4 separate regions of the Mus musculus genome follow, and all the other regions are reported to be linked to region 1. Evidence: microRNA targets listed by miRTarBase, many of them from high-throughput screens and not tested one by one. Region 1 holds a microRNA gene; each other region holds the end of a gene's coding sequence.

Region 1 (3,000 bases):
GAATCAAAACTTTCAGTGGCCAAGTACTACATAATCTCTAAAGCTCTAAGTCACAAATAATTCCAATGGATCGATGAGTGCCATTCATATGTGGGTGTCACATGTATGTGTATGTATGAGTTTATGTATATGTATATTAATATACACACATACATCACGGGATCATCACAAAAATCTCAGGCTCCTCTCTAACTCATCGTGAAGTTAAGGATAAAATTGAACTCTTTTATTATTAGGTATTTTCTTCATTTACATTTCCAGTGTTATCCCAAAAGTCCCCCATACCCTTCCCCCCCCAACTCCCCTACCCACCCACTCCCACTTCTTGGACCTGGCGTTCCCCTGTACTGAGGCATATAAAGTTTGCACGACCAATGGGCCTCTCTTTCCACTGATGGCCGACTAGGCCATCTTCTGATACATATGCAGCTAGAGATACAAGCTCCGGGGCGTACTGGTTAGTTCATATTGTTGTTCCACCTATAGGGTTGCAGATCCCCTCAGCTCCTTGGGTACTTTCTCTAGCTCCTCCAATGTGGGCTCTGTGATCCATCCAATAGCTGACTGTGAGCATCCACTTCTGCGTTTGCCAGGCCCTGGGCCTACTGACTCTGGTAAACATTATCACCTGCTGACTGAGACCCCTCTCAGGCCAAGTACTGCATAACCTCCAAAACTTGAGGTGACATATCATTCAAATGAATCACTGAGTGCCATTCATGTCTGTGTGTCTTTGTGTGCCTGTATATGATTGTATGTATGGATATGTATATTCATATACAAACAGGCAAATGCACACAAAACTATACACCCATGCACATACACGGGGTACATCCCAGGAATACCAGGCTGATCTCTAACTCATTATGAAGTTAAGCATGAATTTGAACTCCAGATCTTTCTGACTATACCAATCGTTTATATCTGGTGAGTAAAAAGTTTCATTGGCCCAGTACTACATAATTTCTAAAGCTCTAAATCACATATCAATAAAATAAATCGATGAATACCATTCCTGCGTGTGTGTTGATGTGTTCATATGAATGCGTGTATATATGGGTGTGTATGTATATGTATATTCATATACACACATATACATGCACACACAACTATACGCACATGCACAAACATGGGGGGCAAAACATGATTCACAGTTTGATCTCTAAATCCTCATGAATGTAAGCATGAATTTGAACTCCTGATTCTCCTGATTCTGGCAAGCATTTTCAACTAGAAAGTGAGAGCACTCACTGGCCCAGTACTACATAATCTCTATAGTTCTACGTCACATATCATTCAAATGGATAAATGAGTGCCATTCGTGTGTGTGTGTGTGTGTGTGTTACATGAGTGTGTATGTGTGTGTGTATGTATACATATATTCATATACACACATGCACATGCACACACACGTAAACACACATTCACATACATGGGTGGCATCACATGAATGCCAGGATGATCTCTAACTGAAGTTAATCATGAATTTGAACTCCTGATCCTCCTGACTCTGTCAACCATTTTCACCTGGTGAGTGAGACCGTTCATTGACACACTACTGCATAATCTATAAGACTCTAAGTCACATATCATTCAAATGGATCGATGAGTGCCATTCCTGTGTATATGTATTTGTGTGTGTGCATGCATGCGTGTGTATATGGGTGTGTATGTATATGTATATTCATATACACACATATACATGCACACACAAGTATACACACATATAGAGCAAGCAACACACAAATCCCGGGCTGATCTCTAACTCATCATGAAATTAAGCATAAATTTTTACTGCTGTTCTTCCTTACTCTGCAAGCATTTTCACCTGGTGAGAGAGAGAGAGCTCTTTTGGGCAAAGGAATACTCAATCTCTAACCTCTAGGTTGCATATCATTCACATGGATTGGTAAGTGGCAATTGTGGGTGTGTTTGTGTGTGTGTGCATGTTTGTGTGGGTATGTATGTATATGTATATTCATATATACATACATTTTCATGCACACATAAATATACACACATGCACATACATAGGGGTCATCACATTAACACAAGGCTGATCTCTAACTCATCATGAAGTTATTATGAATTTGAACTCCTGATTCTCCTGACTGTGAGAAATGTTTTTGCCTGGTGAGTGAGATGTCTCACTGGCCCAGTAAATTTACATATTATACAAATGGATCGATGAAAGCCATTTCTGTGTCTGTATCTGCGCATGCGTGTATATGTTTGTGTGTATGTATATGTACATTAATAGACACACATGCACATGCACACAAAACTATATACACATGCACATACATTCATGGGGGACATCCCATGAATTCTAGGCTGATGTCTAACTCATCATGAAATTAAGCATGAATTTCATCTCCTAATCCTCCTGAGTATGGCAAACATTGTTACCTGGTGAGTGAGATCTCTCCCTGGCACTGTCCTGCCTAAACTCTCAAGCTCTAAGACACATATCATTCAAATGGATGTGTGTGTGTGTGCATGAGTGTGTAAGTGTGTGTATATTCATATTCATATACACAAATGAACATGCACACACAAGACACACACCTGCCCATATATAGGGTACAGCCCATGAATCCCAGGCTGATCTTTAACTCATTATGAAGTTAAGCATGATTTTGAACTCTGGATACTGATGCTCTGGCAAGCCTTCCCTGGTGAATGAAAAGTTTCAGTGGCCCAATACTACATAATCTCTAAAGCTCTAAGTCACATATCATTCAAATGGATCAACGAGTGCCATTCCTCTGTGTGTGTTTGTGCTTGCGTTTATACGTGTGTGTGTATGTATATGTATATTCATATACACACATGCACATGCACACACAACTATACACACAGGCACATACATGGGGGGCATCACATGAATCACAGACTAATCTCTAAATTCTCAGGAAGTTGAGCATGAATTTGAATTCCTGATTCTCCTGATTCTGGCAAGCATTTTCACCTTCTGAGTGAGACCATTCACTGGCCCAG
Region 2 (3,212 bases), not on the chromosome of region 1:
GTGTGTGTGTATGTATATGTGACTGTGTGGTTGATATGTGTGGTATATGGTGCAGGATATACATACATAAACACAGGAAAACATAAAGAGAACATAAGGTATCCTGCCCTATCACCCTCTGTCTTCTAAATTCAGAGCTAGGCTCAGCATCCTTGTCTCGCCCCACCCCCAATCCCCTCTGTCCCCCAACACACACACACAGTGCTAGGTTTACATGCTAATAATGGCCATGCCTAGCTTTATATGCAGGTGCTGGGGATTTGAACTCAAGTCCTCAGGCTTGCGTATCAACTGCTCTTGTTTACTGAGCCATCTCCTGGGTGCACCTTAATTGTGTCCTTTATGAGTTCATTTGTTCACTTCAGGTAGATCATGCTGTGAACTCCAAAAGAGGAAGGCCTAGAATTATCCCTTAATGCTTTGGGTTCCCCATCACTTTATATTGAAAATAATAATAATTGTTCCTCAACTGTAAACTCTTATGCCTGCCTGAGAGAATCTGTTCTTCTCTTCCTATGCAGCCTCTCACCTCACAGCCTAACGGAGCAGGCATCCCTAGATGGATTGACAGGTGAGTAACAAAACTTCAGATGTGAAGTAGCTCACTGCTGGCCAGGAGGAGGCCAGCAGCAGGGATTTTAACCCTTGTGTGTCTGACTCCATGCTCTCCCTTCCCCCATCAAGTCTGCCACCCTCTTAAGCCACAGCCTGAAGGAGACACAAACCAGAGTTGGCATGTAGAGATAGATTTTATTTAAAACCAGTCAAACATAGTATTTCCTCTTTCTCTTCTGAAAAAAAAAAAAAAAAAAAAACAGAAAACAAAAAAAACCTCACCATCAACGACTGGTCTCAGATTTTCTAATTCAAAAAAATCCCATTTCAGAAAACAAACACACACTCCATAGCCAGAACAGAGAGTCTTAGTGCCAGTGTCGGGAATGGATGAAATGCACTGGGACTGGAACAGCCCGTCTTCCTTTCCCAGGTATCCTCAGTCAATTTCTTTCTATCCATTAGTAGCAACCAAATGCCAGCAGAGGGACCCAGAGATGGGTCACTGGGACAGGGACTGACCTCTGACCCTTCACCCTCCTGAACTTCTCATGCCTGATCTTTAGGCTGATTAAGAAGCAAGCTCAGCCCTCCTGCCAGACAACTGAGAAGGAAGCAGAAAGACCCAAGTTTCTCTACATGTTTCCTTATCGTTCTTCAGGGCTCTTCTTCACCATTCTATCTGCATGCACACACGAGCACACACACACAGAGGCACACAGAGATGGATGGGCATGCACACACAAACACACACACACACACACACACACACACACACACACAGTATTGTGTTTGTAAATCTCGGTATCTGGTGCTGAGCTTCTTCCATCTGCATAAGATGGATCCACTCAGTAGATACCCCAGGATAGACCCTGAGGAAGGCAGGGATTTTCTACAGTCCTCCCCTGTTGTACCTAGGGGTACCAAGAAAACATAGGAATATCTGCACTAAATAAGGGTCCAAACCAACTGGACCCTTTCTGCTTCCATGTCTCCTTGATGCCTCTAAGAGAGATCTTGGGCCTCAATTGCTATCACCACACCTCTCGGCATTAAAAGCTGGCAGACAGTGGAAGGCATACACAGAAGGGAAAATAGTTTTTCAGTGTCCTCCCCCCACCTTTTCATCTTCACAGCAGAATTTCCCCCTCCACCCCCATCCCCAGACCCAGAAGAACCCGAGAAGCACAATGCTCTCTTTGTTTCAGTAAATCCTGGGGAAATTCCACTGAACTTGGTGGCTGGTAATCTGGCCAGGATCCAAGAGAGGATGGTGACTTTGGACATTCCTGTTAACAAAGATTTTAGAGGAACGGTGGGTGAGCCGGCCAGGATGGTTTCTGTCATTAGGTTAAACTATAAAGGACCGCAGGATGACAGCTGGTGGCAATTCCAGCGATGCTTGTGTGCACAGTGACTTCTGGAGGTCTTGGCACCCTTACGAGCTGGGTGTCTAGCCTGGCAGTAAGGCTGAGACATCATCAACATGAAACATTTGCCAAAGGTACATACCAAGGCACTTGTAAATCTGATGCTGGCCAAGGACCAAGGATACCCCTTTAAGACTGGGAGGAAGGAGATGCAGCCAAGGGCAGCCCACAGTTACCTCACCAGCACTCCGAGGTATGGCACATGGAAACAACTGATTCAAAGGAATGATACAGGGCAGATTACTTGATGAATACTCTCAACCTTGGGCTCTTAAGAAAAAACAAAACAAAACAAAACAAGAGGATGGGCATAGTACCAAAGAGAAGACTTGGGGTGGGTGGGGGGTCTATCTGGTATGTTGCTGGTGTTGAACCTGTCCTCCCCAGACCAGATTTTGCCACGGTTCCTGATCCTGCCTCCACTATGGCTTCACTGTGAATACTGGTAGATGAGTAGGAGGGAATGAGACTTGAGGAGTAGCCCAGTCATTGAGAAGACTCAGAACTGTAATTTTGAGGATAACGAGCAATGAATGCCAATGAATGCCACCCAGACCCAGGACAGACAGAGCAAAGTAGTGCTGAGGAGAGTATACCATCACGAGAGAGACTGTTTCTTTCCTGCCTCACACTCCTTAGATCCCTCCTGGGCCTGGCCCTCCCTAAAAGGAGGATCACACTGACAGGTCATCTGACCTTGCTTTGCTGCTGGCCTTACTAAGGCGCCGTTTGTCACTATGGTAGCCCTGAGGAAGGCGGTGGCCCGCAGAGGCTCCACTGGCGTACTCTGGCTTCTGGCTATAGTGCATGTGGATGAAGCCTTCCCCTGGAATCTGCTCCTGGTTTGGCACTTCCCCAGTGGCCAGAGCGTCTGGATTCTTCCGGGAGCCCATGTTATTACTGAAGTCGCTGAAGAATTTCTCTCCGGAGCTGTTCTTTAGGCACTGATTGAAGTCAGGGGGAGGAGTGAGGCTCTGGACGAGGCTGGTGGGAGGGCCAGGCAGCTGGTGCTTGTCCACACCCTGCCGTGACTTGCCAAAGCGCTGTCGGATCTTCTTCCAGCCCAGGTGGTAGAGTTCAGCCAGGCTGAGAAACAGAGACAGTCCAGCCACAGCCATCATAAAGACAATGAAGACATTCTTCTCCGTGGGCCTCGAAACATAACAGTTGACTGGGTGGGGACAGGGACTCCTGCGGCAGACATGCAGGGTATCCAGGAAGATCCCA
Region 3 (3,212 bases), not on the chromosome of region 1:
TTTTAACTGCTGAGCCATCTCTTTAGCCCTTAACCAAGTATTTAGTGAACATACAGTATATTTCTGAAATGTTGTTTACATAAATTAAGTTTAAATTTAATTATTGGATAGATGACTAAAGAAAAATGAAGTATTTTGGTATGAGCTTATTATGTTAATATAAGGACTAATTTATTTATCTGGTAGTGTTTTTTGTTAGAGGAAGTTGTATTTTTTTCTAACTTCTGCATGTGGCATTATTGTAATTATAATAATCCCATTTAAATCATAATCTTTAGAGTAATTGCTACATAGAGTTTGGTGCTTACCCTTTATTTTTAATGAATAATGTCTGTGTTAACTGTTTACACAGCTTAAAGCTCAAAATGACAGAGAAACACAAAGTATGGATGTCATATTTACTGAAAGACAAGCGTAAGTACATATGCATAAATGAATTTTGGTATGTGACTTAACTTGTGAGTCATTTATTTCCTTATACAATTTTAACTTTTTCTCTTATTTTGATTTTGTTAATTGTTGGATTAAACTTTTATTTGTTTTTATTTCATGTGCACTGACATTCTTCCTGCGTATATGTCTTGCAAGGGCATTGGAGCACCTGAAACTGGAGCCACAGAGAGCTGTGAGCTGCCATGTGGGTGCTGAGAACCGAATCTGGGGCCTCTGGAAGAGTATTCAGTGCTCCCAACCACTGAGCCATCTCTCCAGCCCTTAATTGTTGGATTCTTATGAGTTGATATCGTACTCAAACCCAGAAGTTTGTCAGTATCTCTGACTCTGTCTCCCAAGTGCTGGGATTACTAACAAGAACCACAACTGGCATCTTACTGAAACCTTACATTTAAAGTACATATTTGTAATAGAAAATGTATCATCATTTCTTAATTTACCATAACATCTTAATATTAAATTTATCTAAATGTCAAATATATGCTGTTTTATTTACTCCCAAGGAGCTAAATTCTATACAAAGGGAAGGTCTACCCAGTTTATAAGAAGATTTCTGCTTCTAAAGACTTAAACTCTAAGACGAATTATGTCTTTATATCTAGCACTTAGAATTTTAACCTAGGCTTTTAAGTAGATTGAACTATGATCGTTTAGTTCCACTTCAGTGAAAGAAGTTATCAATCAGTAGGCTTTGTACATTGTCCTTGATGAGCATTATTTGAAAATTATGAAAAGATCTTCATTATTAGTCTTTTTTTGTAAGAAGGTATCATGTACATTCTTTTGAATATCTTTATTAAAGAGAAATTGGAATGTCAGAGCATTGTATGCTCGTGTATCATGTACCAAGGTCTGTTGTCACATTTCTACCTGTGTTCCATCTTCAACTCTTTTCCTTCTCATGTATACAAAGAAAATCACAGAAAATGTGTTACACTACTTCATCCATAAATGTTCAGTGTTTTACAGATGCAAGTAAATACACTTAGTTTTTCCATGTATACAATGGTAAAATACATATTTTGCTGGTTTTTAATTTCATTCTTTAAACTGTTAAGTTGTTAAAATAATATTTGCGGCTTAGCTATTATAAGAGAATTGGCAAACATTTCACTTTAGATAGACCCTTCCTATGTTAGGGCTATTTTTTCAGAATGTGTCTTTTAATCTATTAATATGTTGTGAGCTATTAGCTATTCTTCCAAGAAAGGGTTTGTTTATCAAATAAATTTTAATGTTTCTGTGTGTGTATGGAATACACATACAGAGAGAGAGAGAGAGAGAGAGAGAGAGAGAGGAGAGGAGAGAGAGAGAAATGAACCCAGGGACCTGAACATGCTATATAGATGCCCTTCAAAAACTTAGTACTGTACTCTTGAGTTATCAGAGAACACCTGAACTTAGTAAAATCTATAAGTACTAAAGGAAAAAAATCTTTAACTATGTTTAGATTTAGATTCCTTCAGTAATTTGACCAGTTGCCTTTTTCTTCCTCTATAAATGGTTGTCAGTGTCATTATAGAAAATCAGTGTTCTACAAATCAATTTGGGAAACATTGCTCTGTTTATTGAAACAGAGATAGATGTGTGTGGATTACTTAAATATTCTCAGTTCTAGCTCACAATAATTTTAAAAATAATCTCCCAAAAGAAATAGAGAAACGTTTAGTCTTTTAAAGAAAATTCATAATTGTTATGATGCCCATTTTAGGAGCCATTGTAATATCAATCATGGCAGTTGTATATGGAATTCTTCCTAACAACCACTGTCAAATGCAGTAGTGGTTAGTAGGGATTATTCCAAATCACTACATCTGTGCTTTAAAGTGCTACAAATTTTTGAGGAAATTTTGTTTTTAAGTTTAGGCAGCATATTCTTTAATTCTGTGAATTCATTTGTGAACATAAGATCACTTTATATAGTTAAAGCTGCCTGTTCCTCACTTTGATAATATAAGCCTAAAATTTGTATTTCTTTATTGATTACAATTTTAGTATAATTTAAGACATCACAGCATGTGTATTTTTTAATATAAGAATCTGCTCATTTTAGTTGATAAATAATTGTCCTTAGGCCTTGTTTTTAGCAGTCTGTAGTTTCCCGAACACTGCTGACACTAGTAAATGCTGGTAGTATAGATAAATCATTAAACTTACAGCTAACCAGTGTATGAGTAATTGCATTTAGACTTCCTTGTGACATATAGAAAAAAGTAATAACTGTGATATTAACATAAGGTACTAATTAATATGAAGGTTTGCTGTTTATAGTTTTGTTTGCCAAATAAAAATCTCTGTCTAAGCTGTAAATAGTCTGAAAGTATTTTTCAGAATTTAAACACGATAAAATTACTTTTCTTCATGTACCTCATTGATATCTATGTATCTGTCTTCAATAAACCCATCATCATCTACCACAAATGCATGCAACTGTTCAAATATCACTGTGGTGTCTTCAGAGTTCGTATCTGTTATTTGTGAAAGAGAACTTGGGTTTCTTGTAAGACCATTTTCATAGGTTTCTGCCTCATGCTCTTCCAGGCGATGGTGGTTGTAACTCAGCAGAATATTGTACCATACTGGGCACTTGATAGCAATGAAGATAAGCAGTGAAGTTAGCAGTACAGTGGCAACAACACCAACCAGGAAAGCCCAGCTTTTCCCAAGAGGCTCATGCTCTTAAATAGAAGAGAGAAATTTTGTTAAGTTGACAGAAGTCAAGCAGAATTGGAAAGGAACATACTTTACAGTTTTCTGTG
Region 4 (3,212 bases), not on the chromosome of region 1:
AGGCAGAGGAAGCAGCCAGTTGGCAGGAGTGAACATAAGAAAACCCAGGAAGGAGAAAGGAGGGGCTGGGAGCTGACAGACAGCCTGGAGGAGCTTTTCATCTTCTGGGATGTTGGTGGAGGAGGAGGCTCAGCCGGGTGTGCTCTGCCTCTCTGAGCCTTGTGGCTTTCACCACAGCATCTGAGTCTTCATTTGGTACATCCAATCAATGTTTGGGGATTTTGTTTTGAAAACAGGTGCATGTGACCACAAACAAGAAGCCCCATAACAAGGGCCTGAGTTTCCCTTTCCCATTGGTCACCCGAGAGAAGGGTCTACTTGCTTCTAGCTTCACACTACCAGCAAAGACAAACATACATCTTTCTTTCTTGAGTCAAGTTAGGGAAAAAAAAAAACAACCCTACAAGATCTTTGTGATAAGAATGTTTCTTCCAATTCCAGTTGAAAGATATCAGAGAGCTGTGTTAGCCTGCTAATAATATATCCTGGTAACAGTGAAATTAAAGGTCTTGACAGGTATTGGTGACACTCAAGAGGCAGAGAGGCAAGTGATCCCTTCAGCCCCAGGCCAGCTGGGGCTACAAATGAGACATCAAAAAACCAAGAGCAGGAGCTGGAGAGATAACTTAGCGGCTAAGAGCATGGTCTCCAGAGGACCCACACGGCAAATCACAACCATTTGTAACTCCAGTTAGTTCTAAGGAATCTGATACCCCAGGCATACAAGTGGTGCACAGACATACATGCAGACAAAACAGCCATACACATCAAATAAGACAAATTCCTTAAGTTCATCATTCTTGGCCTAGAGAGATGGCTCAGTGGTTAAGGGCACTGGCTGCTCTTCAGAGGTCCTGAGTTCAATTCCCAGCAACCACATGGTGACTCACAACCATCTGTAATGGGATCTAATGCCCTCTTCTGGTGTCTGAAGACAACTACAATGTACTCATATACATTTAATAAATAAGTAAATCTTTTAAAAATTAAGTTTATGATTCTCATTTTCCCTACAGGCCCTTACTTAGATCCCTCACTGGGTTCTATTGGTTTCCTTATCCTGATGACTGATGTAAGGCTACAGTCACCAGTCACCAAACACAGTCCATCTGTGGAAGATGTAAAGCCACTTTCTTGAAGATGCTTTTGTGTCCTAACAAGCATCTATTGTCATGAGAGATTAAAGGGACTGGCGAGAACCTTAAAGAACAAGGGTTTGTACCAGGCATGGTGGTGCCTACCTTTGACTCCAGCACTCGGGAGGATCTGAGTTCAAGGCCAGCCTGATTCATTACAAGCTCTAGGACAGCTAGGACTACATAGAGAGACCCTGTCTCAAAAGAACACAGCACATATAAAGGACGTGTGTATATCAGGCTAGAATGTAAGTAAAGACTTAATGAAAGCCAAACCAAGGCAGATAACAAGTTGGAGCCCAGCCTGAACTATACAGTGAAACCCTGTCTCAAAACAAAATCCAGTGTGTAAGTACATGTTTTATTTTTTTAAAGAAAGATTTATTTTTATCTGTATGAATGCCCTATCTGCATATACACCTGCACACAGGGAAAGGGCATCAGATCACATTATATACGGTTGTGAGCCACCATGTGGTTGCTGGGAATTAAGCTCAGGACCCATTGCCCTTAACTGCTGAGCCATCTCTTCAACCCCCTCTGCTTTACTAACATACACACATGCCTTACATATGTAAACAAAAAAATGTATACATGGAGCTAGAGAGATAGCTCTTCAATTACTAGTACTGGCTGCTTTTCCACAGGACCTGGGTTCAATTCCCAGCACCCACATAGCAGTTCACAACTGTCTAGCTCCAAATCCAGACCGCACCCACACAGACACACGTGCAGGCAAAACACCAATAAATAATTTTTAAAAAGTATATTCATACTTAAAATTTTGCTACTCAAATACTGAGAAGAAACCCATACAATTTTCCATAAGCAGCAGAGATCAGAAAAAGTGGTAAAAGCGAGACTTTGCAGTATACACCTTTTTACAGTCCTGAAATCTGAACCTGTTGACTGTATTGACCACTGAAAAACCAATCCCCTTTTGATATCAACCAGCACTTCCCATCCTAGGCTAGGCCTCTCTCTCCCCTGCAAGCCCTTCTCCAAGCCTGACAGGCAGGAGCCACTCCTGACTCGTGGAGGTGAATGACGGACATGGTCACACCGTGATGCCTTTATAAGGAGGCTTTATTGTTAATTATTTACCTTAATAGTCTCAGAAAGAAGAATAGATTAGCTCAGTCCAACATGATTTGCAGTTGGCAAAATCTAGTGAAGCAAGTGTTCTGATTGCTAAGGATTTAATCTGGGTGCTTTTAATACTTAGCCATCTAACACTTTCAACATAATCCAGAACTATGCATCAGCCCCTCCTTTTCCCTTTACCACCACACCTACCTCCCTTCATTACGGAAATATCTTCATTAAATATGATTCCCAGAGGACAGGTTCCCTGGAGCAAATAGCCATGAGGACAGTGCACAAAAAGAAAACTGAAAATAAAACTCTGTATGATAATTTACTAATCTAAGGAAACAAAACCTTCCAATATATTAAGAAATAAATCCAGTTACAAATGCACTAGTAGGTCTGTGTGGAGGCTCTGGCAGAGTAACTGAGAACAGCCAGTTATTTACAAGAGACACAAGCAGGAAGGGCGCACCTAGCCCAGCAAGGGCCTCAGAAGCCAAAAGTGTTCTCTCCGCTGTAGGCCACATACAAGAATCCATCTTCATCTTTTTCCTTCTCGTAAAGCTGTCCCATAGTTAGGCTTGAAAGAGAAAAAAAAAAAAAAAATGAGTGAGAATTGAGTCCTGGTATCAAGAGGAAAAATGAGGCCTAAGGATCGGACGCTTTGTGGTTGGTGGCTAGGAGGTAAAAATAATTCCGGTACCTGCTGTGACCTGCAATCTGCTCTACGGAAAGAAAACAGAGGCAAGGAAAACTGAAGATGGGCTGAGGGGTGGCGGTGGCTCACTGACAACATTAACCTAGCAGGCACAGGGCCCACAAAAAGAGGGCAGAGATCACAACAAATTAGGATGCAGGCCCAGCACATGCCTAGAATCCCTGCACTCATGTTGAAACCTGTAAGGAAGCCAACTCCTTGGAGATGGAAAGGATCATCCCACTGTCACAGGGAACATGTTGGGTTCTCTTCGTATTTATTTAAATATT

The links. The annotated mature microRNA mmu-miR-466f-3p reads CAUACACACACACAUACACAC and lies in region 1 at 1,351-1,371, opposite strand. An mRNA with a match to its seed (bases 2 to 7 or 8) in the 3' UTR can be bound and repressed. Matches are read on the target gene's strand: a 7mer-m8 pairs with bases 2 to 8, a 7mer-A1 pairs with bases 2 to 7 and ends in A, and an 8mer does both.
Region 2: the mRNA of Gja5 is a reported target of mmu-miR-466f-3p. Seed matches in the 3' UTR shown: 7mer-m8 at 1,634-1,640.
Region 3: the mRNA of Lrrc19 is a reported target of mmu-miR-466f-3p. Seed matches in the 3' UTR shown: 7mer-m8 at 1,709-1,715.
Region 4: the mRNA of Gabarapl2 is a reported target of mmu-miR-466f-3p. The part of its 3' UTR that is shown has no 7-base or 8-base seed match.

What each region holds. Positions count from the first base shown.
Region 1 is chr2:10,467,100-10,470,099 of GRCm38, reverse strand. Mir466f-2 (microRNA 466f-2) reads right to left here and starts at 1,425; the gene lies at 1,332-1,425. All of the region lies in intron 10 of Sfmbt2 (Scm-like with four mbt domains 2), which reads right to left. It overlaps Mir669f (microRNA 669f), which reads right to left and starts at 2,871; the gene lies at 2,751-2,871. It overlaps Mir669e (microRNA 669e), which reads right to left and starts at 2,605; the gene lies at 2,487-2,605. It also overlaps Mir669b, Mir669d and Mir669l.
Region 2 is chr3:97,051,153-97,054,364 of GRCm38, reverse strand. Gja5 (gap junction protein, alpha 5) reads right to left here. Exons shown (of 2, transcript NM_008121.3): 2 at 731-3,212. The coding sequence ends at 2,660. It overlaps 4930573H18Rik (RIKEN cDNA 4930573H18 gene), which reads left to right. Exons shown (of 4, transcript NR_152120.1): 3 at 522-571. Among named protein-coding and RNA genes, the nearest start is that of Gja5, 20 kb to the right of the region's middle.
Region 3 is chr4:94,635,422-94,638,633 of GRCm38, forward strand. Lrrc19 (leucine rich repeat containing 19) reads right to left here. Exons shown (of 5, transcript NM_175305.5): 5 at 300-3,131. The coding sequence ends at 2,803. Ift74 (intraflagellar transport 74) reads left to right here. Exons shown (of 20, transcript NM_026319.3): 8 at 353-414. Among named protein-coding and RNA genes, the nearest start is that of Lrrc19, 13 kb to the right of the region's middle.
Region 4 is chr8:111,951,908-111,955,119 of GRCm38, reverse strand. It overlaps Gabarapl2 (gamma-aminobutyric acid (GABA) A receptor-associated protein-like 2), which reads right to left. Exons shown (of 4, transcript NM_026693.5): 4 at 2,205-2,805. The coding sequence ends at 2,715. Among named protein-coding and RNA genes, the nearest start is that of Gabarapl2, 13 kb to the right of the region's middle.